Oreochromis niloticus: one gene and its partners. The protein of the gene in region 2 interacts with the protein of the main gene of each other region in a pairwise test. Links are inferred from orthologs where the notes say so. Each region holds a gene or a part of one and is shown on either strand. Other genes may lie near its edges. The genes, in order: zc3h15, drg1 and rwdd1.

Evidence for each region.
Region 1: the proteins of drg1 (region 2) and zc3h15 interact in binary tests that used the Homo sapiens proteins (3 or more experiments, as listed by UniProt). The two-hybrid records come from large-scale screens. The link is inferred for Oreochromis niloticus from reciprocal best matches to the Homo sapiens genes DRG1 and ZC3H15.
Region 3: the proteins of drg1 (region 2) and rwdd1 interact in binary tests that used the Homo sapiens proteins (3 or more experiments, as listed by UniProt). The two-hybrid records come from large-scale screens. The link is inferred for Oreochromis niloticus from reciprocal best matches to the Homo sapiens genes DRG1 and RWDD1.

What each region holds. Positions count from the first base shown.
Region 1 is NC_031978.2:5,555,702-5,566,517, forward strand, and holds the start of zc3h15 (zinc finger CCCH domain-containing protein 15), read left to right. Parts: upstream 1-6,454; 5' UTR 6,455-6,552; intron 6,553-6,627; 5' UTR 6,628-6,643; coding exon 6,644-6,718; intron 6,719-8,430; coding exon 8,431-8,532; intron 8,533-8,704; coding exon 8,705-8,816; intron 8,817-8,917; coding exon 8,918-9,070; intron 9,071-9,653; coding exon 9,654-9,745; intron 9,746-10,097; coding exon 10,098-10,280; intron 10,281-10,816. UniProt on the Homo sapiens protein: Protects DRG1 from proteolytic degradation. Stimulates DRG1 GTPase activity likely by increasing the affinity for the potassium ions.
Region 2 is NC_031972.2:23,049,403-23,059,656, reverse strand, and holds the start of drg1 (developmentally-regulated GTP-binding protein 1), read left to right. Parts: upstream 1-6,028; 5' UTR 6,029-6,184; coding exon 6,185-6,223; intron 6,224-7,564; coding exon 7,565-7,688; intron 7,689-7,830; coding exon 7,831-8,006; intron 8,007-8,112; coding exon 8,113-8,182; intron 8,183-10,170; coding exon 10,171-10,254. Other genes in the region: kcnn2 (small conductance calcium-activated potassium channel protein 2), read left to right, coding at 1,791-2,066. UniProt on the Homo sapiens protein: Catalyzes the conversion of GTP to GDP through hydrolysis of the gamma-phosphate bond in GTP. Appears to have an intrinsic GTPase activity that is stimulated by ZC3H15/DFRP1 binding likely by increasing the affinity for the potassium ions.
Region 3 is NC_031976.2:1,255,477-1,266,047, forward strand, and holds the start of rwdd1 (RWD domain-containing protein 1), read left to right. Parts: upstream 1-6,127; 5' UTR 6,128-6,262; coding exon 6,263-6,335; intron 6,336-7,202; coding exon 7,203-7,268; intron 7,269-9,878; coding exon 9,879-10,009; intron 10,010-10,571. UniProt on the Homo sapiens protein: Protects DRG2 from proteolytic degradation.

The DNA of each region.
Region 1 (10,816 bases), on a different chromosome or scaffold from region 2:
ATTTACTTCTTTGCCACTCTCAGAAATTAATCTTTTAGCTCTTTCCGAACATTTCCAAATTAATTATTTGGTTTATTTCAGTTGTTCTAAATTGAGCCATTTAGCTGATTGCAAATCTTAACTGAAACGCTCAGATCATTAACACGGAGTTCATTTCAACTCTAATCAAAATAGTTGGAGTTGAGCTGCATGCTTCTCACACAAGACGTGACTGGACTCCAGAAGAGCATCGCTTCCTTTATTTATTCCAAGTTTAAACAGTTTATGCGTGTAAATTATCCTCCATGTTGTTTTAATATAAACAAAAGAATATTAAAACGCAAGCATGCCTGCAAGGCTTCGACAAGCTGTGACTGGCAGCAGGTGAAATGTTCATCTGTATTGTTTTATTGGCAATAACAAGAGCCTCACTCATGGAACTGAAAGTGATTTACAGGTTTCATTTCAAGCTGCAATAAATTTGTCCTTACTGTCTGAATTTCATCTGTTAATATTTCAGAAACACAGTTTATTAAGTCCTTAACTTGTAACAATTCGCCGAGCAAACGTGACCCGACTCCTAACTATAATAGTGCTGAGCTTTACTGCCAGCAATCATCTGCTGGTAGGTGGAATATATATATATATATATATATTTTTTTTTTTTTTTTTTGCCAAGTGGCAGATATCTAATTTTGGAATGAAAGTCTTCATTTTTTATTTGAAGTCTAATTATCTCTGGGAGTTTGTAATCTCTGAACATTCTGCTATAATAATCTGAGTTTTTATTGTGTGACTTCTTCTCTTGATTTTTTATATTCTTTACAAAACAGTTGCTGAGTTGTGATATGAAAATATTAACTTTTTGTGAAGACATTTAGTTATCTGTTAAATAGGTTTAATCTATGAGATGATGTACAGTATTGAGTGGTGGCTGATTAAAACTAATCCCACATTATCCGTTCACATGTGTGAAACATTTTGTAATATCTACACACCCCGTTCATTTTCAGTGCATGCCGACGTTTTTTTCATTATTTAATCCCCATAAGGTGAATTGCGTCCAACTTCAGCAGCAGCTGGAGTTTGCCCTGTTGTGGGTGTTAAATTTCCATTTCTTCCAAGTCACATCTCACCCCCGTTTTGGCTAAACATTTGATGGGAGATGAGAAGAAAGGGCTAATATCTGCGCTCATATTATTTTTAAAAATGACGACAAAACGAAATTATTTAAATTTCACATGAAGCTGTCTTTTTTAAGGGATTAACAAATTGCTTAACATAGATCTTTCCTGCAGTGATGGAACCAAATGATGTCTTGAATGTGAGTGCAAATAACTCTTGCAGGTGCCCTAAGTTTTGATGGTTATGTATGAACTTCCTGCACAGAGGCAGTGCTGAAACAAACCTTGTTACTACACCCTCTGAAGCATTATTATTATGTCATCATTCTAATGATGTGTGTAATGTGTGACCAGTAAGTGGTAATGTTATCCAGAAGGATTTAAACCTCAAATGCAGAACACTGAAAAAGTTTAGTAGTTTTAATGAGCAATTCTCTGAGCAACAACAGCGGGGAATACTTGCAGGTAAACAGTGAAACAGATTAGGTAAGTAATCTTTCTGGTAAGTTGATCATTCGCAAGCTGCAGGGGACTTGGACAAGTTTCTAAATAAGCAGGTAAGTATACTTTAGGCAGGGGGCAAACACTGTTACTGCAGTTTTCCTCTCTTTCCTCAGGCTAAGGTTTCCAATATTTGAGTCCTCAGAGTAGAGATGTTACAGCAGCAAGGGCAGTGAGAGCAGGTGAGGCACGCTCTCCAGCAGGTTCCCTGAGAAAAAGGAGGAGGTGGGCAGGCAAGTACAAGGTCCATGAGGATACAAACAAGCAGGTAAGCAAGCAGAGTAATAAACCACCTGAGCCATGCTAAAGCATGCATAGGTTTAAAATCTGGCAACAGGTGGTGGTGGAAGCCAGCTTTAAACACTGGTGTGCCTGCCCCAGGTTTTCTGACACCATGCTCAGCACTGAAAGAGACTGGTTAACTCAAAGCCCCCAGTCACACAGACAGGAGAGACAAAGAGAGACAGGCAGGTGCCACACCTGGAAGACTGTGACAGTAAGACAGTATTTTTTGTTCATGTGTAATTGAGGATATTGTAGCATTTACTTAAAGACCTACAAAGACATCAAATTAAGTTTGAGGATGAAGTTTAAACTTCTAAAGTTAAACTTTTCTTGAGATGTTTCTCAGGTGGTGGATTTCAAGCTCAGCTCCAAATCCTAAACACGATCATTTTCATTTTGTGAGCACTTTAATGACTTCTTATCTGATTTCTTTCAGTTTTTTCCAGATCATGTGCTATGGTTTAAAGCCGGGAACACTACTCTGTCTAATGCTTTGACTTTCCCCATCAATGTTCTCACTCATTCATTCATGTTTCCAGTTATCAGGCAGTAAACCCCCACCTTCCAATCTTCCGTGAACGACTGAGTGCGGTTCAATTCAATATTTATTGTCCCCTGAGATGAATATGGTTTGCAGATGGAGTTAACAATAAAATAATGAAATAGGAATACACAATAAAAAGGCACAGAAGGAATGCAATAAAATGTAGGAACGAGTAAAATCACAAAAACAACCAACAGTTTTATGCCACACAGGCAAGCATGAGATGATAAAACCCTGCAGGGAGTCAATAGCCAAAATACTGAAAACCTAAAACTGGTGCTTCTGCTAAAATGAATTGGTGGTAGCACTTATGACTGACAGTAATAGGTTTACAAACAACTTTATCCAATTGTGAGAAGAAGCCTGAGTATTTTTCCAGCAGTGAGTGAATAATGGGACAGCTAGTTAGAGAAAAATCCTGCTGAAAATAGTTTAACATGTTTTAAAAATAGCTACTGGTAAATATCTCAAATGTTTCGAGCCCATCTTCTTGTTTGGTGTTCTGTTTTTCCATAGATCACTCCAGATATTTCCAGTGTAGCTACACTGATATTGAAACTTAAAAGCATTGGAGTCCCACATTCTTCAGTTATCTGAAACATCAACAGTAAGCTAAACATCCTGTTTTGGTGTCAGTCCCTTGGGATTAGCGAGCAAAGCGCTCCTTTCTAGACTCTTCATTTTGCACCGACTTTCAACTCTCACACGGTGAGAAAGAAATCCACCACGAGAGCAGGAATACACAGCAATCTCTCCACCGACAGTAGCCTCAAGGGACCGGAGTACAATGCATGCAGCAGACGAGTTGTGTTATCAGTAAAAGGATATGATTCTCTCCTTTTCCCAGATAAAAAAAAGCACCGTCTCTCGCTATCACTCCTGCTACTGCTATTGGTTATTACCTGAACACAGAGCATAAAGCTAAATACAACAAGTTCACATCTGTTCTCTTGGGACTGTCAGAAATGTAAGAAACCATCTTATGAAGTAAATGTAGACAAGGCAGGTTGAGGGGAATGTGCTTTACACCAAAAAGAAAAAAAAAGAGAGGAACTTTAGCACTGAATAAGTCCTGGGTTGCAGGGAGCACCGCGGGATGATGGTATCTCAGCAGTGTGCAGAGAAAAAAGCCGTGAGGTGATGGGTGGTCAAGGTCTTTATGCAGCAGGACACTTTTCCCCAATCTACAGTGGAGTTACATGTTTTTGCTTTTGGAGCAGGAGGTTGCCTGGGTGGGCCTGGCTGGAGATTATCGTTCCTGCCCTTTTCTTCGCCCCTGGTGTCGTGCAGCACCTTGATGGGGAGCAGCTGACAGCCGATGACCTGCTCAGCAAGTTAGCGGTACAGACAAGGTGCTGCAGTTTGTCCTTGGAAGCAGGAGGAGGCCGAGGCAGCCTGAATACCAGGATGCTTTTGATTATTGCCTCAAAAAAATGAGACAGTTACAGGTTGCGCAGTGTCAAGTTTTCTCAGCTACCACGGGAAGAAGATCGACTGTTGTGCTTTCTTAATTAGGCCAGAGATGTTTTCTTTCCATCTGCAGTCATCTCTGGATTCAAGTGCATTCGAGTGTGTGCTTCAGCGTGAGTGTGTGTGTGTATGTGTGTGTGCGTGACATGATGCCCTCTGCAGAAAGGATCGATGTTTGTATGAATATGAAGAGGGAGGTTATAGGGAAAATGCTCTTCTAGCAGATATAGTGATTTATTATACTCCACTCAGAGAGACAAAGACATTCAGAGAAAAAGAAAAAGGAGGAGCAAGAGAAAGAAACACACAGGGAAAGTTTGCTTGAGGCAATATTACCAGCCTCTGTTGTCTTAAAATCTAGCCTTCAGCCATGCAGTCAGCAGTAGTGTCAATATAGGTTATTGTATGCACACACTCGCGCACACATAGACGCACACATATTTGCAAGGTGGAAAAGCGCCATGCATGATAAGTGTGTTAGAAATAAAAAGTCTCTGCATTGGATAAAATAAAATAAAGTTGCAGCAGAGCATGCGAGCAGAGAGAAATGTCTGGTAACACATGGCTTGATAACACATTTTCAGCCAAGGATGCTGTTACTAGAGTTAATTCATTGTCTCACTCTGGGACTCATTAAAGTGCACAACTAGTACTGCCATTATGAGAGCACCCAAACTGAGTAAATGTTGTCCCTTACCCTTGAAAACCAGGACTCATTAAAAGACATGAGCGCAAATGAGAGCCCAAAAGGAGCAGGCGTGTGTGACCCATTTTGGCTCTTGTCTGTGCCTCGGTTTCCTGTGCGACACATACACACATTTGCACACACACACGTTGTGAACAGTGAAGTGGCCGATGAACCGAGGCACGATGTGGATGAAGGCCACACATTTCAAATGTGCCAAACGAAATCACATTAGTAACTTAAGTGAAATCTAATTAAATCAAGTTGAATCAGCAGCTGAAGCGGTAAAACCCCTGCTGGTTAGTTCTCCACCTCGCAGCGATGACACGTCTCGTGCGTCTGGTTACAAAGGGGGGCTTTTTTTCCTTTTCTTCTTCAAACGCACCCAACTGTAGCTTTGTTCCTGCTCTTTCTCTTCTTTTTGTGCTTCCTATAATTTTCCTCATAGCAAACCACAGAGGTTTTGCAGATAGGGGCTGATCCATTACTCAGCCAGTAAAAGTCATACCAAAGTTGAAATTAATTGACTAGTGGTCTAATCAAACTGTGAAAAAAAAGAGTAAAATGCTAATAAAACAGTCTTATTTTCACTGGCCAGATGGTGGCTCTCTAATAACCTTTTTTATCTACTGCCTATGATAGAAATACACATCTCCTTTCTGCTGATTTCTCAGTACCTGTGTAATCAAATGCTCCAAAGTCATTCAACCAAACTCCAATTTAGGCATGTGGTCCTTCTCAAGTCTCATGAGTTGAGCCACTTCTTGATCTTTTGGTTGTTGTTTGAGGCAGCAACAATACTTGTAACACTGCAGATCTGTTTTCCTCATTATTCAGTTAGTTTTCCAAAACACAAAGTTCGTGCTCTCAAATAATTCTGGGCTCTCTAACAATATATGTCTGAATTTTGTTTACACTTGACCGTTAAATGAGTGAGGTCCTCTTTTCTTAACTTCTTGAAGCTTCTTGCTTCAGCTGACATATATTGCAATACTGACACCAGATGGTTAAATCTTATAACTGCAATCAAATGACTTCAAACCCGGTATCATAGTCTGCAGTATATGCACACTGAAACTTGTGAGTAGGAGCCAGATGCAGACACCCAGGCCCTGAGCCTGTTCTTGTTTCTGATGGTGAGACACGGCTGAAATTAACTGCATAAGATGACGAGACACAGGAAGTGAAACCAAAGGTAAAGCATGAGTAACAGCAAACTCACAAAATAAAGCAGGAGGTGAAAAGAAAACATACTGGGAAAATAAAGACTTAATACAAATTGATACAAAAGAAATGACAGAAGAGCACTGAGGACAAGCAACTAGTTTGTGAACACTGTGTGAACTTTGCTTTGGATGGTTCACCCCAGGTATTTAAATTCTACCTTCACTACATCTGCTCTCTGCAGCTTCACTGTTACACCTGTCTCCCTGTCATCCACACACATCTTTTACAGACTTTCAGTCCTCTTCTCTCCAGAGCATAACTCCCCCTCTCCAGACTCTCTTCAACCTGCTACCTAATCTCACTATAGATCACAGTGTTGTCTCCAAACATTGCAGTCCATGGACACTCCTGCCTGACCTCAACTGTAAACCTGTCCATGATCACTGCAAACAAGAATGGGCTCAGAGCTGATCCCTAAATTAATCCTACCCGCACCTTAAACACATCTTACCATCTCACCATGTCTTCATACATGTCCTGCACCGCCACCGTAATGATCTTAAGAAGAAGAATAAAGAGAAAGAAGAGCCTTATGTTTGACACCCCTGAACTAGACGTGTTTTGCAATTTCCTTAGGGATTACATAATTTCCTTAGGGATTAATAAAGTATTCTGGTTCAGATTTTTCTCCAGACTACAGTACCCATCCTGCCTCTCGGGGTGCGTGTTGACGTCACAGAACATCAACAACTCACATGTGGCCTAGAAGGCGCTGTTGCGGTGCTAGCAACAACCGGGTAATGTGGAGCTGACTTCCCTGCAAAATCACCAATAATAAAGATATTGAACAGCTTCACGCATTTTGTTCACAGCTATACCTGAGCCAGCATGCCTCCGAAGAAACCCGCCCAGCCCGGGGGAAATAAAAAAACTCAGGAGAAGAAAAAGGAAAAGATTATTGAGGTAAAAGTTACACGAGTTAGCGTGTCGTTGATTAACCCTAGCTGATAAGCTAGCATACGGCTAACCGAGGCTATCGCAAGTGCTGACAGGTGAATCGTAAAGTTGTTCTGGCCTCTGGGCAGTTGTCAGTGCTTTCTAATTGTTTGGTCCATATTTCGAAGTAGTTAGTAGTATTCTACTAAAGGCCTCTTCGGGTATAGTTTAACCTAAAGCTAGCTGACTGTCTCGATGAAGGCGTGTAGCTAACTGATAAAGCTAAGCTGCTATCAGGGCCGTGCCGCCGCATCAGCAAGTGCCCACAGTTATTGCTTTAAGGTTAATATCCCCTGTTGAAGACTCATGTAAGAATTAGAAACATTATGGCAAGGCTTATGTGGTGTTTTATGAGGTTTTCTTCATGGTTTTAAACACAAACGAGCACGAAGGCGCAGAGTGAAAGGCCTGTTTTCTGACCGGCCTCAGGACTGCTCAGGAAACACATTTGAGTCTGTTTCAGTGATGTAAACAGGCTAAAATGAGTAATTTCAAGCTCAGTTTGTGTGTATTTAATTTTTTCCGTACACAACACCTAATATTATCAGCGTCTTCCGGTCGCTTACACGTTTTCTGTTGTGGTTAAGTTTAGCAGCGGGAATTTCAAGTAAATTTTGAAAGGGGCGCAGCTTGTGCTCGAAGTTTTTAACATGCAACTTCATCATTCAGTTTCCTTAACACCAGACAAGCAACTCTTGCTTTCAGTTGCAAAGTTTTTAATTTTACAACAGAAAATGGTGTTGAGCCAGGCTGTAGGTGTGACTTTTGTTGTTGGTAAAATAACTATTTAAACACAGATGAGCCACACACTGCACCCTTGGTTCAGTACCACCTGTTAAAATCAAAGCCTACTGTTATGGTGGATGATAAATTGGGCCTATGGGTTTTTAATAAAGAATGAACGTGAACTAAATAAAGATGAAACTTGGGATGAGTGCTGCAGGCAAGGTAGTGCAATTATAAAACATTTAGACACAGAGCGATACAGTGCCGCAGAAGGGCAACCATAGCCTTCAGTTCTAATGGCTGTGAAAATTACCCTGAATAATGATGTTTAGTGAGCTAATTTTTATCATAGCTGTATGTCAGATCTTGAACAAGTGTGTCAGTATTTGTTGAATTAGACATGCATTTATGATCTGTTCCTTGTCGAAAGTCTAACTTTTCACAGACTTGGTCTGCTGAGACAAATTTTGGTTTCTCTGAAATCACTGACCACTGGCCTCATGTTGCTGTTAGTAGAACCAAAGAGAACTGATGCCTCATCATTATTCTAAAGGATCTATGCAATAAAAGCAAACTTTTGGTTATGCTTTGCATAATGAGCCTACCAAAGACTGAACCAAGACTACAATCTCGGTTTTGGTTGTGTGATAATTTTTGCTGTGATATGTACAAAAATAATCAATTCACTCATTCTTTAAGCAATCTTGAAACTTTAGAGTTTTCACCTGACTAGCACACTTCAACTAGGTATGGTAGTTCTGCAGTGGATGGAAGATGGAACCATGGCCTGATATTGCAGATGTGTCAAGTGGATTTCACTGTACTCCTTGTTGTAGTGATGTAACACTTACTCAGGCTTTGTGTTTGGAATTGTATTATAAAAGTGACAATTAATAAAGATGTGTTTGGGCTTTTGTGTTTGTTTGTTTGTTTTGTTTTTTGTTTTTTTGTAGGATAAGACATTTGGCTTAAAGAACAAAAAAGGGGCCAAGCAGCAGAAGTACATCAAGAATGTTACTCAGCAAGTCAAATATGGACAACAAAGTGCCAGACAGGTTAGCGAACTGTTCTTGCCTTCTGTATTTCTTTCTGCCTTCATCCTTGTGTATCTTCTTAATCCTTAAGCCAAACATTCTTCTCTTACTTTTGCTCCCCGTACTTGCTGTCTTCCTTAAATCTTTTGTAAGTAAGATAATCTTTAAATGTGGCTGAATTTGTCGTGTTTAGATTGCCCAGGCTGAGGCAGAAAAGACCACCAAGAAGAGTGATAAGAAGAAAGAGCTGGATGAACTCAATGAACTTTTTAAACCCGTAGTTGCTGCTCAGAAAGTCAGCAAAGGTAACACACAGCGTGTGACACACACAGGAGATGAATCATTTGATGTGTTAAATTTGATAAGAAAAGATGATTGATCTTTTTTCTCTCTTTATTTCCTGCAGGTGTTGATCCAAAGTCAGTGCTGTGTGCGTTCTTTAAGCAGGGTCAGTGTACTAAAGGAGACAAGTGCAAGTTCAGCCATGATCTATCCATGGAGAGGAAATGTGAAAAGAGAAGCGTCTATGTGGACGAAAGAGATGAAGACCTGGAGAAAGGTTGGTAGACATCACAGTTAACTTGTACATATTGAAAGGGTGTCTATTGCTGCGTGATGTCAACATCTGCATCATGATTTCTCAGGAAATCTAATGTTATCATTTTCTATTATTCAGATAAATTAAGAAGACAACCATCTGCTAAAAATGTAAACAGCTTGATTTGATATTTAGTTATGATTACATGGGACTTAAGCCTACCTTATGGCAGCTTTGTTTATTTTTCCTGAGTAAAATAGTCAATGTTTTTCCCCTGTAATGCAAATAGCCCTCATTCTGAGTAAATTTCAACTACTGATATCTGGACTTAAAATTCAGTGATGAACACTTAATTAAATTAACCAGGCCTTTGCCTTATCTCCTTTATTGACTTTACCTGGACGGGTGGTCCATCATGCCTACCATGTTTTTTTTTCTTTGAAAATTAACTGAAATTTCTGCTACGTCTTACTGTCTTAGAGCCCCATTCTTGTACAAAAAAGGCCAATGTGAGCTATTTTATGAGCTACAGGAGAGGGTGTTGGGCACTTCAGTGATTTGAATTCATACCCCATGCTGAAAGACTGTGATGTGCTGCTTTCAGACACTATGGAGAACTGGGATGAGAAGAAACTAGAGGAAGTCGTCAACAAAAAACACGGAGAAGCTGAGAAGAAGAAAGCCAAAACACAAATCGTAAGTCTGTTGTTATGAAAAACAATTAGTGAATGAAGACAAGGACCTAGATATTTGCTGGTCGTCTGTGTTTTCATCAGGTGGTTTAATGAGAGTGTGGGAAACAGACTTGTTTATGTGGTAAGGTGAAATGCAGGGAGTTCAGGATGTTTGATGGATAAAGAATAAGCAGAGAAAACCAAATCTAAGAAAAAAATGTGCTTTTTTCCACTCGGTTTGTTCCCAAGAGTCTTTTGGCTCCAAACAAAATTCGTCAAAGACAGTCCCACTAACAGTTCAGTCAACTAATACCAATAATAATACAAGATTTTGTCTGCTTTACTGTTGCTAACTCACAATTGTTTGTCTGCAGGTGTGTAAGTACTTCTTGGAGGCCATAGAAAACAATAAGTATGGCTGGTTCTGGGTGTGTCCCGCAGGGGGCGACAATTGTATGTACCGGCATGCTCTGCCTCCCGGTTTTGTACTGAAAAAAGACAAGAAGAAGGAGGAGACAGAGGAAGAGCTCTCGTTGGAGGAACTTATAGAGAGTGAGGTAAGGATAACTACAACAGTGTGCTTTAGGGAACCTTTGAGGTGAGTAACAGCAGCACAGAGTTCAACTATTGAATGAGATGGACTGGAAGGTGTAAAAGTGAGGTTGCTGTCTTTGGTATTGCTGATGTGCAAACCATTTTTACCATAGACAACTTTGCACTTTTCTCCCTTATCTTCAAAAGGCTGGCTCAGCCTGGTGTGGAGATTCATGTACCAAACCAAACAGAAACTGTGAAACTTTTTTTTTTTTTTTTTAAACTCAATTTTTATTATACTTTACAACATTGCAACTCGTACTTGGCAATGTTCACAAGTAGGACAGTTACAGGAACCGCAATGCAGAAATACAGATTACAGTAACAGCTGCAATTAGGAAACACAAAACAAAACTGGGAAGCAAAACAAAACCCAAGCAAACAAACAACAAAAGCAATAAAAATAAAACAAAAAGTTTATGTAATATTAAATAACATTTGACAATCTTAGCCAAAAATGAACAAAATGAACCAGACCTATGCTAAATTACTGAAACAG
Region 2 (10,254 bases):
TCAGCAGGCACCTTTCCTGTCTCCTCAATTTCACAGACTAATGTACTCTGGTCTGCATGAAAACGAAAACTGTCCAAATAAAATTCACCCTTCTAGATCAGTTTACGGCAGATACTGTGCTCCCATAATGTTCCTCTGACCTTATTTTGAAGGATGGTGAAGGTTTCTCTGGGTGAGACACCATTGCAGACAAGATGGATAAAATGGCAGTATCATAAAGCATTTACTTTGAGTTTGTAAAATCTGAACTGTTGATTCAGCTCAAGAAGCCGGAGCAGGAACGTCTCACCGTGCAGTATTACGACAGCGTTCAGCCTGACACATAAACTGAAACATTGGTGCACTCACCACCCTGTCATATTATGCAGGTTCTGTACAGGCTGATCTCGTGTGTGGCGTAAGGTGTATACACTCACTGGACATTTTATTAGATACACCTTGCTAATACCGGGGTGGACCCTTTTTTGCCTTCATAACTGCATTAAGTCTTCGTGATACAGATTGGAAACATTCTCCTGAGAGATTTTGATCCATATTGATATGACAGCATCACACAGTTGCAAATTTGTTGGCTGCACATAATGGAAATCTCACATCCCACTACATCCCAAAGGTGCTCTATTGGATTAGGTTGTGGTGACTGTGGAGGGCATTTGAGAACAATTTTGATGATTTGACAGGCATGACGTGGTGCACTATCCTGCTGAAAGCAACCATTAGCAGATGGGCACACTATGGTCATAAAGGGCATAAAGAGATGGACAAGATCCGCAGCAACATTCAGTTAGGCTCTGGCATTTAAATGCTTATTTGGTACTAAGGGGCCAAAATGTATCAAGAAAATATCCCCGACACCATTACAAGTAAATTGTAGCTCCGTTTCCTGTTCTTAGCTGACAGAAGTGGCACCTAGTGTGGTCTTCTGCTGTAGCCCATCAATATACTGTTCATTCAGAGATGCTTTTCTGCATACCTTAGCTGTAACGAGGAGTTGTTTGACTTCCCGTTGCCATCCTATCAACTCAAAGCAGTCTGGCCATTCTCCTCTGACCTCTAGCACCACCTTTCTTTCACATTCTGATATTGACTTTGAACTTTGGCAGGTCATCTTCACCATGTTAGACGTGCCATGAGATTGGCTGATTAGAAGTTTGCATTAACAAGCAGTGGAGCAGGTGTACCTAACAAAGTGGCCATTGAGTGTATCCGTGTCATTACTGCACTCAGTCATGAACATTTTTGTTGTTATTTAAGAGAAATAGGAAATCCTAAAATACCTTGAATTTGATAGTGACTTTTTTCTTCCTTTTATCTTGGTTTAATAATCAAATATTGTGCAATACAGTGAAAAAATCCTGTAACATCTGAAACTGTGAGCTTTATTGAGCTGACTCAGACTGTGGAAGCATCATATTAGCTGAACTTTTATTGCACTTTTACACAGCATAGCGCCTTTGATGTTCATTCACGATTGCTGACATTGAAATTGCAGGCAGAATGTGAGTATTGTTTTCAGACAGACGTACAAATAGATATACATCCATTTATTATTTTAAAGTCATTCTTTACTTTGACTTTGATGTGTTTGAACAGTGAATCTTTAGCACTCGTAGCCTCTTGTAACCAGTTTTCTTTCTTCTCTTTTCAGAACTATCAGTGCATCTTGAAGTGATAAAAATGCATTTTCCCTATTTTATTTTTAATCTATAATAAATTTTCTGGTGGTCCATCAAAAGTAACATCGGTTTGAAAATGATATCAATAAGCGTGTTTTATCTCTCCTGTTCCAGACTCAGAACATCATGTATGACATGGTATCAGACCTGAATGAGAGAGGGGAGGACATGGAGAAAAGGATTGCCCTGCTGGAGACGAAGCTGGAGACTCTACTGAGTAACTTGCAAGCTTTGCCCGGACTCATCAGCCAGGTCATCAGCCAGCAGCACAGGGACTTCCTGGAGGTGCAGCTCCAGCCTTATGACAAACACAGCCCTGAGCGCTCACAGTCAGTGTCCCGACGGAGGTCGTCCTCCACGGCACCGCCCACCTCCTCGGAGAGCAGCTAGAGTCCAGGGGGAACGCCTCCACTGGAGACTTTTGCCATCATATGGCCAAGTTGCATTTATCGTAAAGCCTTATGGTTTCAATAAGTATTATCCAAATTCTGATGACAGAATCCAAGATACTGGGGACAATACATTTTAATGGATAACTTCATGCTGTTATTTATTTTTTATTACCTCAAAAGATGTTGTTATCCTTGCTCTGGTGACATAAAAATAATGGCGCTTCCCTCAGTAACAACTAAAAGGCCTATCGATGGGGCTATGATAAGAACTCTTCTCCATCTCTATGCACAGGTAGCCAGTTTTAGGTAGCAGGGTTACCAAGTGTGAAACTATTGCACTAAAATAGTGCTTCTCACAGACTTTGTGCTTCTGCTGGCTTGATTCAGTCTCTGTGTTCCTCAAAGGAAACCGAGAAACCACTGAGAAATCAGTCAGGGAGCATGGCAGTGATATTGAGGAAAAGTACTACGGTTTACGGACTGGAGTGAACTGACAGCAGAAGCCAGATGAAAATCGCTCCTACACACTGTCACTCAGAGATAACTTTAAAAGCTTGAAATGAGGAAAACAGCATATATCTTTTAGGTTAGAAACAGCATCAACTATAGTGGTTTTCCTTTGCAGAGTGCCCCTGTAGAATGACTATTTTTGGGGGGCCACGTTGCAAATAATTTAATCCTCTAGTAAAAATGAATGCATCAGAACCTGTACTTGCACTTACTTTTTAATCAATGCACTTCAATGCTGACTAAGATATGATATAAAGATACGTTGCTCATTAAAAGAAGAACATTTTAAATGTTCGGGCATGGGTTTATTATTGTCAATTATCGAGTTGTGGCTAGTGTTAATGATTCAAATCAAAGCCCCCTTTCTGTTTCTCACAAAGAAGCATCATCTTAGACCTGCAGAGGTCTTTAGAAACTTACTGAGTGATCATATATTTACTAATTAACCCCCTGTCTCGCTGTGTCTCACCTCCCGTCTTTTTTTTTTCCTTTTGCCTGTGCTATTTATGCTTGCTGCCATCCCAGCTGGGCAACAACAAATGCTGAACAACAAAACCGTAACCATATCTACCTTTTAAAAAGTAAATGCCTATTTTTATATACTTTAATGAGGAGAAGCACACCTCTTAAAACTAAACAAACAACAACGTGGGATCGATTAAGAGGCAGATTCAGCGTAACTAGCACACGGTAAGGATATCTTGGACTGGAGTTAAGATACATAAAACTGTCTGTGAGACTCTTTTCTGAACATAATTAACAAATAGTGTGATTTAAAAACTGTGGTATTCTTCACACTCCATCTATCATTTACAGCATATGCTTTGGATGATACTGGTTGGATGAGCTGGAAGAGCAGGGCTGGTAAATGTGATTGGCATTTATTACACTTGGAAATGTTACGGTCCACAATTGATTTAACATATATTCTGATTTCATTCATATATCCACTTTGGTCATTAATGCACTCTAGCTACATATGAACTGTGAAATCTTCTGATGTGTCCAACATACCCTTTTATGCATTATTACTCAGTATACGACCATAATGGTTGTGTATTTTTAAAACAGCCATTCCAAGGTTCACAGAGCATCGCATGGGTCAGAGGAGATCCATCACAGGTTTTGTTCAACCAGCTCACTCATTAAACAATAAATCAATCAGACAGTTGACAAAACACAGATGTTCAGTCCACAAACTTTAGCAGCATAGAAACCAATGACAGACTATACTGTATGCGACTTAAACGATAAAGAATTAAACAATAAAAATATACAATTTCACTGGTCTCCATCCTTTTTGTGTGCATTTAAATGTGGGTTTGTATCTTATGTGCTTTTGTAGAAAGAATAACCAGTGTTGTAAACAATGTGGTCATCAGTATGTACACTCCAGGTAAAGTGCACCACAGACTTTATAAATCTTCTAAAGTAAAAGGTTCGCTATGACATAAATTAGATTATTTGATATAGCCAGAGTTGCCATTGTGTTGGCAAAAGTAAAGGGATAGTCCCTGAGTATATAACAAAGTTCTAAGATTTTTCTTATTTAGAAGCAGAATTGTAGAATTGATTATTTGTTAAAAGTTAACATGCAACAATTTTACAATTACACACCAGAAATCCAAATACAGTATCTAAACTTCTACCTGAATAAATGTAATTACTATTCAACAAATGTAATATTATATTAATCTTACCGAATCATCAGTTTGCAATACTTTGTGTGCATTCAGCTTTGACTTTATATGCAGTTATACGCTCACTGGATGCTTTGTTGGTACACCTTTTCAACAGCTCATAAATAACACAAAAACTCATGTATTAAATATGATACACATCACATGGCAGTCCATTTAGGCAGGTAGATATGGCCAAGACAACCTGCTGAAGTTCACACGGAGGATCAGAATTTGGAAGAAAGGTGATTTAAGTGACTTTGAACACGGCATGGTTGTTGGCGCCAGACGGGTTGATGGGTGAAATGAAACATGACACATGAAATATAAACATATTTCCATAATATCTGTTATGTTATTTATGAGTCCTTCCAATTCAGTTTAAAAATAATCATATTATATTGTCACAACAACTCCTGGATTACTCGATTATGCTCTGCCTGACTCTACTTAGATCTGCTGTGTTTGTGCCAGCAGAGACGTTTAAAAGTGCCCTCTGGTGGACAAACTATGCAGCATGAACACTGATAACATTACCACTCATAACATAACTCATAATATCAGCAGTGCCGATATATCGGTCGGTCTTCAGTATGATCACAGCGTGTCTATCTTCTGATGGCTGCTTTCAACGGGATTACACGTGATGTCACAAAGTCCACATCATCTCAAACTGATTGATAATGAGTTGACTGTACTCAAATGGCCTCCGGTGCCACCTGATCTCAATCCAGTAGAGCACCTTTGGGATGTGGCAGAATGGGGGATTCTCATAAAGGGTTGTGCAGCTGCAAAATCTGCAGCAACTGTGTGATCATGTCAACATGAACCAAAATCTCTGAGGAATGTTTCCGGCGTATCTTTTAATCTGTGTCACGAAGAATTAAGGCTGTTCTAAAGGCAAAGGGTATTCTCACCTCGTACCACTGAGGTGTACTCAATGAAGTGGCCCATGAGCTTATTTTTTCATCAAGATTTTCTTCTGTAGAGGTGTTTTTATTCATAACCCTAATTTAGGAGACGGTAATGTCGGTAATTTAGTTCATGTGTAGTTAAATGGTTTTGTTTTATAAAACTTCTAATATTTAACTTATGGATTATTTCATTAAAAACGCAAAAGAAATCAAAGCGCACTATCCTACCTGAGTAAATGTAGTCATGCAGTATTTTAGGTACAGGTGTATAACTTTTGCATGACAACAGTAACGCAGTCCGGTGGTACATTCTCAGCTAGAAACTGATTCAATCTGATGTTTTACAGCGTAAAACGGTTATTTAAATCAATTTAGAACGACGATGTCTCCTCACAACTCAGAAACATCCGAAACTTGATAAAAGTACAAGCCAATGCTCATCAGGCACACAGGCCTACATTAATTCTTAATAAAATATTGTGTTTAGTAGCTTAATTGTACCTTTTGATGCAAAGATTTTTTTCCTCGAAAAGCTATCTGGGATTTATCAAACAAGTTAACTAAACGTTTTTTTTTCTGATATCCAGTGAAGTGCAACCTTTCCAAATAAATAATGGAATTTTCCATTATCCATATAGCAGGCTATATGAAAGCTGGACTCAGGGGGCAGTATTTGTGTTTATATTTTTTAATTTGCAATTTTAGTTGTACTAAATTCCATGCTCCTGATTCGCAAATGAAGCATTTGCCCTTCTGGAAGCTCATGCTGCGTTTGCGTTTCTCTTTTTTGTCCCGTGAGCAACCTGTGAGTCAACGCGGGCTGTTATTGGTCAATGCACCGGGTATCATGCCCCGCTTCTGTCCGAGTTCTCGCGAGATTTCCCTCGAAAAACCGCACAACCGCGTTTGTGTGGCGTGCATGCTAAAGTACCCCAATAACTTTGCCAACTTCCATGTAAAACCTTTTTAGTTTCAACCGGTAACGTCAATTGTACACGGGGAACACCGTCACCATGAGTATACTTGCCAAAATAGCAGAAATTGAAAATGAGGTAAGATGGAAGCAGCGGGTGGGCTAACCCGCTGACAGTCACGTTTAAGCTTGCTACAAACTGTTAGCGTTAGCAACAATATTACAGCCGGGCTTTGTTTTACTCTCAATATTTCTAACTCAGTTTTTTCCCTTTTCACCACAAAGTCCCTATGAAGTTGCTTTACCCAATCAGTGAACTTGTGAATCCATTACTAATCATATAAGACAGTATAACGGATGTGCTAGTGCAGGTTGATGGTGGTAACAAGCTCGCCTTTACGCAACGTGTACACTTTAACTGTCCAATACAAGTTAATTTAAGACGGCAGTGCTGTCTTTTAATCCGCACGTATCCATATATTATGATCTTTGTATGGTGTGCCGTCTGTTGTATTGAGGAAGCCTCAAATTTGAACATGCGAGTTCATACCAGCAGGGGTACTTGCTTTAAATTAAACCGAATGTTTTAGATTTTTATGGAAACTTTACTGTATTGTCAGAGGCAGTAAAAGGAAACCCTCCAGGTTGCAGTGCAAAGAGTACTTGTTTCAGTGTCTTCTTTAAGGGTTGCCACAGCAGATCATTGCTTCCATCTGTCTTCTCTGTGGTCTTCCTCTTATCTTCCTGCCTGACAGATCCATCTTGAACATCCTTTCCTTTGTCAGCCATGTCTCTCACTTTACCAGCCATAATTCCTACATTTAACATCTTGCCTTCTATTTTGCTGCCTCCAAACATGCCTTCCCCCTACTATTCTTTCTCAGTCTTTGGCCATTAGCAGCCACCCTGCTGGTCAGTTGTACCGGTAGCAGTTCTCGTAAATCACTAATAACATTTCTAGCTAACATGTTTGATTTGGCAAAGACTTTACACCGGACGTCCTCCCTGTCACAACCTACCCATTTATCCCTAACTTGAGACCAGCACTAGGTGTACATTGTATTGTGCAGAGAAACACAGCTGTGTTGATCTTGGCCAGGACTTTTCCTGCATATTAAAAATGTTTCCTCCCACCTTAAATGCTTTAAACTGCATTATTTATCAAATGGACAGAAAAACTAAGGTTATTAAATAAAATGAATGAATATCTGTTAATTAATGTTAAAAAAAATGGATGGATGGATGGATGGATAAAGTAAAAACTGTACAACATGAAAGAATGGGAACAGGTTTATAGCGTTGTTACTGCACTGACATTACAGTAAATCCAGATGGGCAAAATTAAACTTTCAATTGTAAAGGATAAGTCTATTTTGTTTTAAGTTTCACCATGGGTGTACCTGAGTGCATTCAGTGAAAACTGCGTACTTAATGCTTTTTAGAAAGTTCTCACGCAGACTGATGTTATTGTTCACTGTAGATGGCCAGGACGCAGAAGAACAAGGCCACAGCTCACCACTTGGGTCTGCTCAAAGCACGTCTTGCCAAACTCAGAAGGGAACTCATCACACCTAAAGGAGGCAGCGGTGGTGGGACAGGAGAAGGTGAGATCAGGATACTTGTGTCCTAATGATGTTACCAAAGTTTTATTTTAAATATTTATTTATTTTTGCCCGGCAAAGAATTCTAATGCATATTTGATTTTTTTTTTTATGTATATATATATATGTCTCCTCCAACTTTTAGGTTTTGATGTAGCGAAAACCGGTGATGCTCGTGTTGGCTTTGTAGGCTTTCCTTCAGTAGGAAAGTCTACACTGCTAAGTAACCTTGCAGGTGTATACTCTGAGGTTGCTGCCTACGAGTTCACCACTCTAACAACAGTACCTGGAGTCATTCGGTATAAAGGTGCTAAAATTCAGGTACAAGAGTTTCTGCTTTCTTCAAAATCTCTAATAGTGTTCATGCTGTGGTAAGGTTTAAGTTATTTGCTTATATTTTTCTTTTCCTTACTACTTCCTTTTTCAGCTCCTGGATCTCCCGGGAATCATTGAGGGCGCCAAGGATGGAAAGGGCAGAGGCCGACAGGTCATCGCAGGTAATGATTTGATCACAGTGGAATCTGCTTAGAGGGAAATATAATGGCAGCACAACTAATAGTGCTACTGGAATTTAGTTTTCTCCCGTATATATTTATAGACAGATTAAATCATAAGATGTTGTATTTGTAGATTTTCAGTGAGACAATGATTCACATTGTTTATCTAAAGTTTGCTTAAAACACAACCGCTGGTGCTCTACAGATTGACTGTGGCCTTCGGCCTGGAGCTGATGTCATGCCCAGGCTTAACCTGGCATTTCAACCCTTAACTGCAACACCCTCCATCTGGCATGTCAGCAGCGATGGCCTGCCCACCACCTCCACACTTCCAACCCTACACCTCCCTTTTATACCAGAGCCCATAAGAGGCTCTTTCTGCTGCTTCCACAATCCTGCATACAGCTGTCTTCCGCTCATTTTCTGAAACTCTGAGTGTAGTGAGTGCCATTTACAGTGACTGTACTGGGATTCCACTTCTAGAGGAAACAGACATAGTTGCCACCCTTTCACTCTACACTCTTTGATAAAGTCTTGGTATTTTAAGCTCTTCCTTTCATGAGCCTCATCACTGCCTTCTTCCCATGGCACACTTATATCGTGTATGCACGCACATTTTGAAACTTTTCCACTTCATTACTGTTACATTTTCTCTGGCATCAAAAAGTGCAAGCCTGCTCAAAGATTTCTTTTGACCATTATGGGCAGGCAGTGAACCTCAACTTTATCCACTCACTGGACAATTTATTAGTTACACTTTCCTTGTACCAGGTTGTGGTACTTCCATTAGAACTGCGTTTGCTCTTTAGCTCTTTTGCACACATCTCTGTTTCAAATCTCCATATTTTGTCTCCCTTTCTGTCTTCATTTATTTATTTGTGCTATGTGTATTTATATGTTCTATTTCTATTGTATATATTAATCAGCATCTGTAGGTGAAAAACAAAGAAAGAATTTCATTGCACAGAGAAATGCCTTTTTCTCTTGTGACACATGACAATAAACACTTTGAATCTTGAATCTTCATTCTATGTAGCACAGATTCAACAAGGTGCTGGAAACATTCCTCAGATATTTACATGATAACGTGACACAGTTGCTGCAGATTTATCAGCTGCTGCTGACAGCTTAATGTCATGTTTACAAAATCTGTTTTAAGGTGATTTGTGACCTGGTGTGCTATCCTGCTGCAACAATACCTAGGTAGGCTGTGACATTTTAAATAATGCTCAGTGGTCTATGTAGATTTTCAGTCATACAGGTCATGGTAGTCTTAAGTGCTTGAAAAGAAGGTAACTAGATTTCTTTAGGTTTGTAAAGACATTTTTTGTACCTCATATGAGCTATCGAGGTCACCTGAGGCAAGGTGAGAGTGGGTGTTGAAATACTTGGGAAGGTTTCTCAAAATTGCATTGTAGGTGGCTGATAACTCGTGTCACACCCACCACCTCTGTTTGGTGACAGAAATTCACAGTGGATATAGATGGACTTCTTTACTCATCTCTCAAACCGTCTGTGTTCTTGGTCCAAAATGTGAACACTGGCATCCTCAAAAATGTGTTTTCTCCTTTAAGTTCATTTGTCTTGTTCTGTTGAGCTTTCCCTCCTGTATTGTGCCATGTGTTTATGGAGTGGTCATTTGGTTTCCATAAAAAGCACTCCTCACAGCGCACTCTGGATATTTTCCCTTTTTCAGACAATTCTCTGTAGATCCTGAAAGCTTTTTCTGAAATGTAGACCAGCTCGTCCTGCATCAAAAACCAAAGTCACTTAAATCGCCTTTTTACCCCCGTTCTGAAGCTCAAGTTTGAACTTCATCAAGTCGTCTTGACCCATATGACCTACCTGGCTATATGTCTAAATATTGCCTTGTGATTGGCTGATTACATATTTGCATTAACGAGCAGCTGAACAGGTGTACTTCACCTGGGATTTCTTTTTACACATCTCTGACTGATGTTATTGTTTCTTTTTCCGCTCTCTCACAGTGGCTCGAACCTGCAATCTGATTCTGATAGTGCTCGATGTGTTGAAGCCTCTTCTTCATAAGAAGCTAATAGAACATGAGCTGG
Region 3 (10,571 bases), on a different chromosome or scaffold from region 2:
TCGTGGTGCTTTTGATTGTACTCAGAACTTGGAAATTCTGCCTTCTGAATAGGAAGATGTAGGTAATATGTAGGTAACACCAGACTGCAGATGAGCTGCATACAGGGCTGGACTGGGACAAAAAAATCGTCCCGGGCATTTTGACTAGAGACCGGCCCACCATTATATTAAAAATCATAAAGCCTTTGAATGAAAATAAACACTGTTGTGACAGTGATGTACACTGTTCTGATCAATCTATCAATTGTTTGTTGTAAGACTCAGATAATTATTTTTTTTAAAGCGAGACATTTTAAATGAGAATAATAAAGAAAAGTATTTCCTTGTCCCCCCCTTTCCCTGTTAATGCCCTACCTGGACCCCTGGCAACACTTTGCTAGACCCGCCCTGCACAGTTACCAGCTGTCAGCTACGTAGAAAAGGATCCTGGTGTTATTTGTCTCTCAGAAACAGTTCATAACTTCCCTTCAACTCATTCATGTCACCTAAAGGTAAACCTGTTTCTCCATCACCTGTTCAGCTCTGATGATTCAGTAAGGACATCTCCTGGTTTCATCTGCATGTTTCCCTCTCACCAGATAACCAAACCGATATCATGACCAGCAGCTTTACAGCTGTGGCTCCAGCAAACATCAGCTGATACTAGAAATTAATATTAAATAAATTCTAACAACAGCTGATCAAGCTTAAACGTGCTGCTGTTGTTTAACGCGACATCCGCTGGTTTCCTCTTTCTGGCGCAAAGTGGGCGATAAATAAACAAGAGAGAAAAGCTGATCAGCTGATCACTGATCAGTTTCGTGATTGAAGTAGAAACGGGAGAGGAGAGAATGAGAGAAGAAGAGGCAGCTGTGCAGCTTCAGCTTTGTGTCTTTTTCATTGTAGCTGAAGTCCGGGACAAACTGTGTTCCTTTTCACCTCAATACGAAACGCGTAATATTTTCTCTGAATACCAGACGATTCTGTTTTTTACGGGACGGTTGGCAACTCTAATAATTAACCGTATGAACAAAATAAAGTTCAACATCAGTAACACATAGCACCCACACAGCTGTATAGAAACTCCGTCATGCTAGCTACCACGCAGTACGAAAATGTCAGCATACCGAAAATAAACTCCACCTAAACTTGGTTTATATCTGACTCAGATAGACTGCAGGTCATAACTTCTTACCTGAAGTTCAGTTCACCTGACACGCGGACCGGCGGCCGCTTCGGGTCTCTCCTCTTGCCTCCCTTTTCCTTCATCCACCTGCTGGCCTCCACCACTTGCTAATGTTATTGAATCTGTGGAAGCTCCGCGATATCCACCACACGGAGTAACGAGCCTATCTAAATCCCAGTAACGAGTAACGCGTTCCTGGTTTTGGCATAATAACTAGTTACCGTGCTCGTTACCACAATAATAACGTAGTTACTGTAACGCGTTACTTAATAACGCGTTAGTCCCAACACTGCTTACGAACTGGTTTGGTGACTTTGACCAGGGGCCTGTGGGAACCCATGGCACACCTAGGTTTCTGCCTGTAGTACTGACCCTTATGCAAAATAGGTGGAATTAAGACACAGTTCCAAAAGCAAACACAGCTGATCAGTGCTGAGAGTGGTCCTGTTGCTGAGGTTGGGGTGATCCTGTAATCTCTTACGAACTACCTCCAACGCTTCTATGACTGGGATGCAAGTGAAGACAGATGTAACATCTCTCTCTCACTGTACATGTACTGTTTATAAAATTAGGGAAACATAACCTGCACAAACAAAATAATTTGCAGGACAAATGTTTGACATCAATTTTGTTCGATTTGAAGAAGGTAGGGGGGCCAACTTCACTCACATGTGTTTATAAGATCTGGGAAACCTGCAGTCAGCTGAGACTGAAGAAGTCACTTGGATGAGTGACGAAACGTTTCTCCAACTGAAAATGTCCAGATGAACAGAATCAACCTTTTGGGATTTACTTACCTGGACGATTAAGCACGCATCAAGACGTTATTTTATTAAAATTTTTAAAATGATAGCAGCACAAACAAAAATTTTTGCAGCACAAACGTTTAACATCAATTTTGTTTGATTTGGGTAATGTGGGGGGGCTGGTTGACCTTTTGACTTTTACCTTTTCATTAATATCTTTAAAACAGAAGCAGCACAAACAACAATTTTAGCAGCACAAACGTAGCACAACTGATTGACACCCATTTTGTTTGATTTAATTAATGTGGGGGGGCTGGTTGACCTCTGATGACCTCTAGAAATTTTTATTAATATCTTTAAAATGATAGTAGCACAAACGAAAATTTTTGCAGCACAAACCAGCACGAATGTAGCACAAACGTTTAATACCACTTTTGTTGGATTTGAAGAAGGTGGGGGGGCCAACTTCACTCACATCTGCAGCGGTACTGCCGGCGGACAGACTCGACATTCCCAGCGAGCTGAGGAAGAAAAGACGGGGGTGTCGTGCTGGGAAGGAGCGCCGTCGCCCGAGAAGGAGACGTTATCGACCATCTCTTCCTTCTGTAATTATTGGAAACGTAAGATCTTTGCCCAATAAGATGGATGAGCTCACGTCGCTAACCTGGTCACAGAGGGAGTACCGGCAATGTAGCATCATGATGCTAACAGAGTCGTGGCTAACATCGCTAACTCCGGACACGAGCGTGACACTACCGGGATTCCAGCTGCTGCGAGCGGACAGGACGAGAGAGAGCGGTAAGAGGAAAGGAGGGGGACTGGCAGTGTTTGTGAATGACAGATGGTGTAACCCCGGGAACATCACTGTAAAAGAACAACTCTGCAGCAGAGACATTGAGCTGTTAGCCGTTAACATGCGTCCGTACTACCTGCCCCGGGAATTCTCGCATGTTATCGCGATAACAGCGTATGTCCCCCCCTCGGCCAACGCGGATGCAGCCTGTGACTCTCTCCACTCTGTGGTCAGCAGACTGCAAACACAATCTCCGAGAGCCCTTCTCATAATATCAGGGGACTTCAATCATGCCTCACTGGACTCCACACTGCCCACCTTCACCCAGTATGTGACCTGCCCAACCAGAGACAATAAAACAGTGGACTTACTGTATGCCAATGCTGAAGAGGCATACAGTTCATCAGCTCTCCCTCCCCTGGGCAGATCTGATCATAACCTGGTGCACCTCGTCCCTGTGTATGAGCCCTTAGTGCGCAGGGAGCCACCAGCCACCCGCACAGTGCAGAGATGGTCGGAGGAGAGCGAGGAGGCTCTTAAGGATTGTTTTGAGTCCACTGTGTGGGAGGTGATCTGTGACGACCACGGAGAGGACATCGACAGCCTTACTACATGCATTACTGACTATATTAATTTCTGTGTGGATAACACCGTACCTACCAGGACTGTACGGTGTTTCTCCAACAACAAACCCTGGATTACCCCAGAAATTAAAGCTGTCCTCAAGCAGAAGAGGAGGGCCTTCAAATCCAGAGACAAAGAGGAGTTGAAAAGGGTGCAGAGAAAGCTGAGGGGACTGATAAGGAATGGGAAGGACAGCTACAGGCAGAAGATGGAGAACCAGCTTCAGCAAAATAACGTTGGTGAAGTCTGGAGAGGCCTCAGAACCATCTCAGGCCACAAACATCAGAACTCTCTGCCTGGGAGGGATGTGAGGTGGGCAAATGAACTGAATCATTTCTTCAACAGATTTGATTCATCCATGAGGCAGTCTCCAACATCGGCTGCAGACTCACCCACCCCCACTGCTGCTGTTCCACCTCTGACACCTCAGACACTTCACACCTCCTCTACTCACCCTGCTCACTCCTCCCCACCCCCAACAACAGCATCCAATACACACTCAACACAAGGCTCCAGCCTGTCTCTCTCAACCACCCAGGTTAGGAGGGAACTGAGGAGGATTAAAGCCAAGAAGGCAGCGGGTCCAGATGGCATCAGCTCGAGGGTCGTCAGGTCCTGCGCAGACCAACTGTGTGGGGTGATGGAGCACCTCTTCAACCTGAGCCTGAGGCTGGGGAGAGTCCCACAGCTCTGGAAAACCTCCTGTGTTGTACCAGTGCCAAAGACTTCACGCCCCAAGGACCTCAACAGCTACAGGCCGGTGGCTCTGACATCCCACCTGATGAAGACCCTGGAGCGGCTGGTCCTGGCTCAGCTTCGGCGCCTTGTGAGCTCATCACTGGACCCACTTCAGTTTGCCTACCAGCCTGGCATTGGAGCGGATGATGCCGTCATTCACCTCCTACATCGTTCCCTCGCTCACCTGGAGACCGCTGGAAGCACTGTGAGAATCCTGTTCTTTGATTTCTCCAGTGCCTTCAACACTATTCTTCCCTCGGTTCTGAAGGACAAGCTGGAGAACTCTGGAGTGGACCATCACCTCACTACCTGGATTCTGGACTACCTCACCGACCGACCACAGTATGTGAGGACTCAGGGCTGTGTGTCGGACAGGGTCGTCTGCAGTACGGGGGCCCCACAGGGAACGGTTCTGGCTCCGTTCCTCTTCACCATCTACACTGCAGACTTCTCCCACAACTCCACCCAGTGCTTCCTGCAGAAGTTCTCTGATGACTCTGCAATAGTCGGCCTCATCACTGATGGGGACGACAAGGAGTACAGAGGACTGACTCAGGACTTTGTGGACTGGTGCCAGCTGAACTACCTCCAGATCAACGCCAGTAAAACCAAGGAGCTGGTGGTAGACTTCCGCAGGCACAAACATCCTCCACTGCAACCACTGAACATCCAAGGTATGGACATCGAGGCTGTGGACAGCTACAGGTACCTTGGTGTTCATCTGAACAACAAACTGGACTGGACTCATAACTCAGACGCCCTCTACAGGAAAGGGCAGAGCAGGCTGTACCTGCTGCGGAGACTCAGGTCGTTTGGAGTGGAGGGCCCACTCCTGAAGACCTTCTATGACTCTGTGGTGGCCTCAGCCATCTTTTATGGTGTGGTCTGCTGGGGCGGCAGCATCTCTGCTGGGGACAGGAAGAGACTGAACAGGCTGATCCGAAGGGCCAGCTCTGTTCTAGGATGCCCTCTGGACCCAGTGGAGGTGGTGAGTGACAGGAGAATGGTGGCTAAGCTGTCATCCCTGTTGGACAACATCTCCCACCCCATGCAGGAGACTGTGACAGCACTGAGCAGCTCCTTCAGTGGCTGCGGCACCCACGGTGTGGGACGGAGAGACTTCGCAGGTCTTTCCTCCCCACTGCTGTCAGACTCTACAACAAAGACTTTAACTGATCAAACACACACATCCACACATGTGCAATAACACTAATGTGCAATAATCTTTTTCTGGCATCGTTGTATTTTTACTCAGTTGTATATAGCAGTTGCATTCTATTTTTATCTTATTGTATATTTTATTCTATTTATTCTACTGTATATAGTATTTTATTTTATTCTATTCTGTACAGTTGTGTACAGTATTTTATTCTTATTGTATTCTAATTTTGCTATATAACTTTTGCACTGTCCACTTTCTGCTGTGACAAAACAAATTTCCCACGTGTGGGACTAATAAAGGTTATCTTATCTTATCTTATCTTATCTTATCTTATCTTATCACTTTTTGGCACCTGAGAAATCCTGTAGCCTTCCTGAAAAAGGACAAAACTGTCCACTGCCATTATGTGAAAAACGTCTGGGTGATAAAAATAAATAAATAAATACCAACAAAAGTGCAAAACAAGATTTGGTAATTTGACTGGTTCTTATATAGCTTATATAGATTCTTATATCTCAAAGTGCTTTGTACAACGTGCCTCATTCACCCATTCAGACAAACACTTTGGATACACCAATGGATGAATTGCAGATTGGTGGACTGAAGGTTCATGTGTTGAAGAGCAACTTGGAGTCAGTATGTTGCCCAAGGATACAGGAAAAGGGAGAACATCCCTGTTAGTAAAACGGTTCGTTTCCCTTATCTATTTATCTATTTGTTTGTTTTCCTCTAAATGATAATCGATAAACGAGCCGATTTTTTTTCTCATTCATAAAGAAAAATCGCAAACACACGGACGCAAGTTTTTCTCTTGTTCTTGCGTCGAGCGTGTGATCTACATAAGTCCAGAAGGTGGCGGTAATGTACGTTCAAAGCTGGTTTGCTAACCCCGCTAAACCCGAAAAGAAGAAGAAGAAGGAGAAGCGGCGGATCGTCGAGATAATCGATCGACTGTTTCAGCTGAGTACGCAGCACACAGCGAACGTATTGGTGATGATTTTACGAACTTCCAGATAACCTGTAGCTACACAAACATGACAGACTACGCCGAAGAGCAGCGGAATGAACTCGAAGCCATCGAGTCCATCTACCCAGACTCCTTTACAGGTCTGAATGGCACGTAACGTTAAGTAGGATTATAGCACGAAAGTAGCAGCTAGCTCATAGCTAGCAAGTACACGTTACTTAGCTTGCTGGTTTTGGTGCATGCTCAATGATCCAGGTAAGTAAATCCCAGAAGGTTGATTCTGTTCATCTGGACGTTTTCAGTGGGAGAAACGTTTCATCCAGGGGACTTGTTCGGTCTCAGCTGACGGCAGGTTTCCAACCTTAAATAGGACATTTGTACAATGACTGAAACTTTTCACGTGAAAAGAGAAAGACCATCTCTGAATCGAAGAGGGGGCCTAAGGGTACACCTGTCTCCATCTTACAATGCTGTGATTGCAGCCATTCCCCAACTCTCTGTGAATGGGACTCATGGTCAGTGATCAGTGGTTGTTGATCAATGGTCATGAGAATTTGCAGAACTGACCTCACAGCCCATTGTTATTCAGCGGTGCTAGTTTCAGTCATTGTACAAATGTACTGTTTATAAGATTGGAAGCCTGCAGTCAGCTGAGACTGAAGAAGTTGGATGAGTGACGAAATCTTTCTGCCACTGAAAACGTCCAGATGAAGAGCATCAACTTTTTGGGATTAGCTTGCTGGTGTTCTTGTATTTGTGAAAGGATACTCATATTAATGTTAAATACTAATACTATTTCTATTAGCACTCGGTAGCTGTTGGGAAAAGCAAACATTGTTATGCTTGCCTGAAGTCTTTATTGTTATTGGTATACAAATCTTTATTATTTCTAAATGTGAATACTGACAAAGAGAAGAGATTGGGTAACTAAGGCATATTTGAAGATTTTACCAATCAGTTATGAAATCATAGTAGTAGTGATGTTGCTAATGAGTGTGTACTTGCAGTGCTCTCAGAAGATCCCACCAGCTTCACCATCACGGTCACATCCGATGCCGGGGAGAACGGGGAAAGTAAGTAAACTGATGAATGTGGTTGGAAAACAGTGTTTTGGTAATAGCTAGCACTGCAGCTGTTATTATGTCGGGTGTTTTAAACTGAACTGCTCATTGGTTTCCAGGGCGCACTGTGGAACACTTTATTATATGTTATGTGTAGGTCGTGTCTTGTTATATCCTGTATGTTACCTAAATGTTGTGCATCTGCACTTTATTGTTGTCTATGTCTACGCATGGGACAGTGTGAAACGTAATTTCAATTCCTTTGTATGGCAAGTACATCTGAAGAAATTGACAAATAAAACTGACTTTGACTTTGACTTTATAGAATGTGTGTGTGTGTATATATATATATGCATGCGTACATTTATAGCATATATTTAAAAGCAACTTAACATTTGAAGTGGATCACGATAATAGGACAGTATTGTGAAACCTCTGGTGTGAAATCTATTAACACTGAGCCCATTCAGGACTACACTCTCACAGCAGTTGAAAGAACCAGGTCAGAAGGAACACTGGTCCCAGTGATACTGCTTTGCTTCTAAGGATGTTCCCCTGCATGGCCGCAAGATCAGTGGATCAGCTTTAACTGGCCTGTAACTGTTCACTTCTTCCTTTGCCTTCCTAGTTGATGTTTCCTGTGATGCTGTGGTTTTGGTGAGTAGGCTTGCCGAAGCATAGCCATTAATGCAGAGTCCTTTGGCCTCTTAATTGGGAGGAGCATCATCCATTTCAACACAACCAGAGACAGACACAGTTCCTCTGTCACCATCAAACTCTTGCTGTTGAAAGTAGGGCTGCCACAAACCATCATTTTGGTAGGCGAACTAGTCGCCGATTATTTTTGCGACTAGTCGACTATTAAATTAGCCGTTTATGATTTTGATAGTCGACTAATCGTGGCAGGCCTAGTTGAAAGATGAAAAAATTATTTAAATTTATTTGCAAAATAATTTTGAACTCACCAGAGAATTGAAAATATTAGTATTGCTGATGGAAGGAAATGATTATTTGGGGTTAATTTCAAGCTTTTCATCTGCTTCTGTCATGATGGTTCGTGTGCAGCCAGGTCACTTAACTCGCGCGTGGCTACCTCATGTTAACTGATTGGAAGTTTCGACCAATTCCATGTACATGCTGAAACAGGAATATTATACCATTAAAGACCTGGGTGACCTCGGCTTCTAAATGTAGATAAAACTTCGGTTATTGAAGTCAGCCCTATAACCAGTAATCAGATACTTAGTATTACCTTGGCCTCCAGTAACACTGTGATATTTCCTCTACTTTTAAGATTAGGCTTCAAACTTTTCCTTTCTGCTAAAGCATATAGTTAGGGCTGGACCAGGTGACCCTGAATCCTCCCTTAGTTACGCTGCAATAGGTGTAGGCTGCTGGTCGCTTCACATAAGCCCATAAAACTACTTGGATCAACTCAGCACAGTTTCCAGGGCTTTCTATTAGCACAGTACTTGGTACCAGCAGGTACTTTTTAGTACCTGCTCCGCTGGGATTCCAAGTGATCCAGACCGGTGCTAAATTGTGACATCGTCAGACTGCATGCCACCGATTGGCTGGTCAGTAGCGTCACTCGATGAATAATGAGAGCATCTTGTTCACGATAAAATCAAAACTGCCAGGAAACGGCTACAAAAACCGACGCCGGGGGGAGGGTGATGAAAAGCTCCCGACAGAGCAGCAGGTATATATTCACTTCAACATCCACCTTTGTTGTAGCGTTCGTGTCGCATATTAATTACCTCGCAGGACGAGCAGACACGTTGCTATGACGACAAGCACACCAGCAAGGTACTACTGGGTTGTAATGGAAAACCAGTTGAGTGGCGCTGATCCATAGCGAGTCAACCCAAGTGGGTACTAAGGGAAAAGGGGCCATAATGCACTGGGCAGTTCTTTTTAACTATGTCTTTATGCACTATTCATTAGTTAGTAGTAATCCAGATCTCTTCCACAGCGTGTCTTTGGCCCATCTTCTTCCTGTGGCAGATGGCCGCCGCTCCCTGAGCCTGGTTCTGCTGGAGGTTTCTTTTAACAGGAAGAAACCTCCAGCAGAACAGCTTTTCCTTCCCACTGTCACTGAGGCACTTGCTCATAGAGGGCCTGTGTCCCTGAAGGACCTGACACACGTTCACGTTCAGTGTTCTTTATTTGCTTCCACACTGTGTTTGTGTCTGTTTCACATTGCTTCAGCACATTGCAGTACTCCCAACTCCGACTGCTGCAGCCGCTCCTCCCTCCTCTCCGGCCCGGCCGCTACTGAAATAGTGAAGGGGAGGGTCTTAGTAACACAGCAAAGGCCACTTTAATGTACCCCACTCAGGGGCTCCAGGAACGCTGGGTAGACTGCATCGTTGATTGAGAAGCACGAATAACAGGACCCGTTACGTGACCAGAATGAAAGAAATCCTCCCGTCCACTAGTGAAAACCCCACTATGCAGGCACTAAGCTGGGGGGATACATGTGTATCCACCCTGTTTGACTTTACATGTAGTGAATAAAGAATAAATGAAAGTTTTATCTTTAGTTAAATAATAAAAAGAACTTTTTCATTTTGCACTCGTAAAGTTGTGGAACATGAACTGTCTGTTGTCTTTTTGCAGCTGTGGAAACAACTTTAAAGTTTACGTATGTAGACAAGTACCCAGACGAGCCCCCGCTGTGGGAAATCTATTCCCAGGAGAACTTGGAGGAGAGTGACACAGAAGATATCCTCACACTGTTACAACAGCAGGTCTGTCATTGGATTTATCTGGGCAGTCGTGGGTCTGGTGCTGGTTGAGGGCTAATTAGTGGCTTCTAGATCTTTCCAGATGCTTAGATGGAAGCCCAGTGCCTTGGATGACAGCTTCACTGCTGTGTGTCTACATTTGTGATTTAGATGAAGCTCAAACCTCATTAAGAGGAATCTGTGAAGAAATGGAAGAAATCCTGCTGAATCTTAAAGCTCCAGACTTTTAGAAACAACATTTGTACAGCTGGTCCATGGGCACGACTAAAGCAACATTTTAATGAAATATGATTCAGTCTGCATATTAATAACAGTGTATGTTCATTGAACTGTTCAGTGAAGCATGTCAGACATGCAGCGAGATGGAGACAACTTTAAAAGTTTACAAAGTGTTTAAAAGGATTGATAAATGTATTATTTTTATCAATATAATTCAGAGTATCAGATTGATGTAAGCTTTATACAGGGCATACACGAGCAGTCAGGAGTTTGGACATGACCTCTTATTTAATGGTTTTTCTTTATTTTTATGACTATTTACATTGTAGATTCACACTGAAGGCAT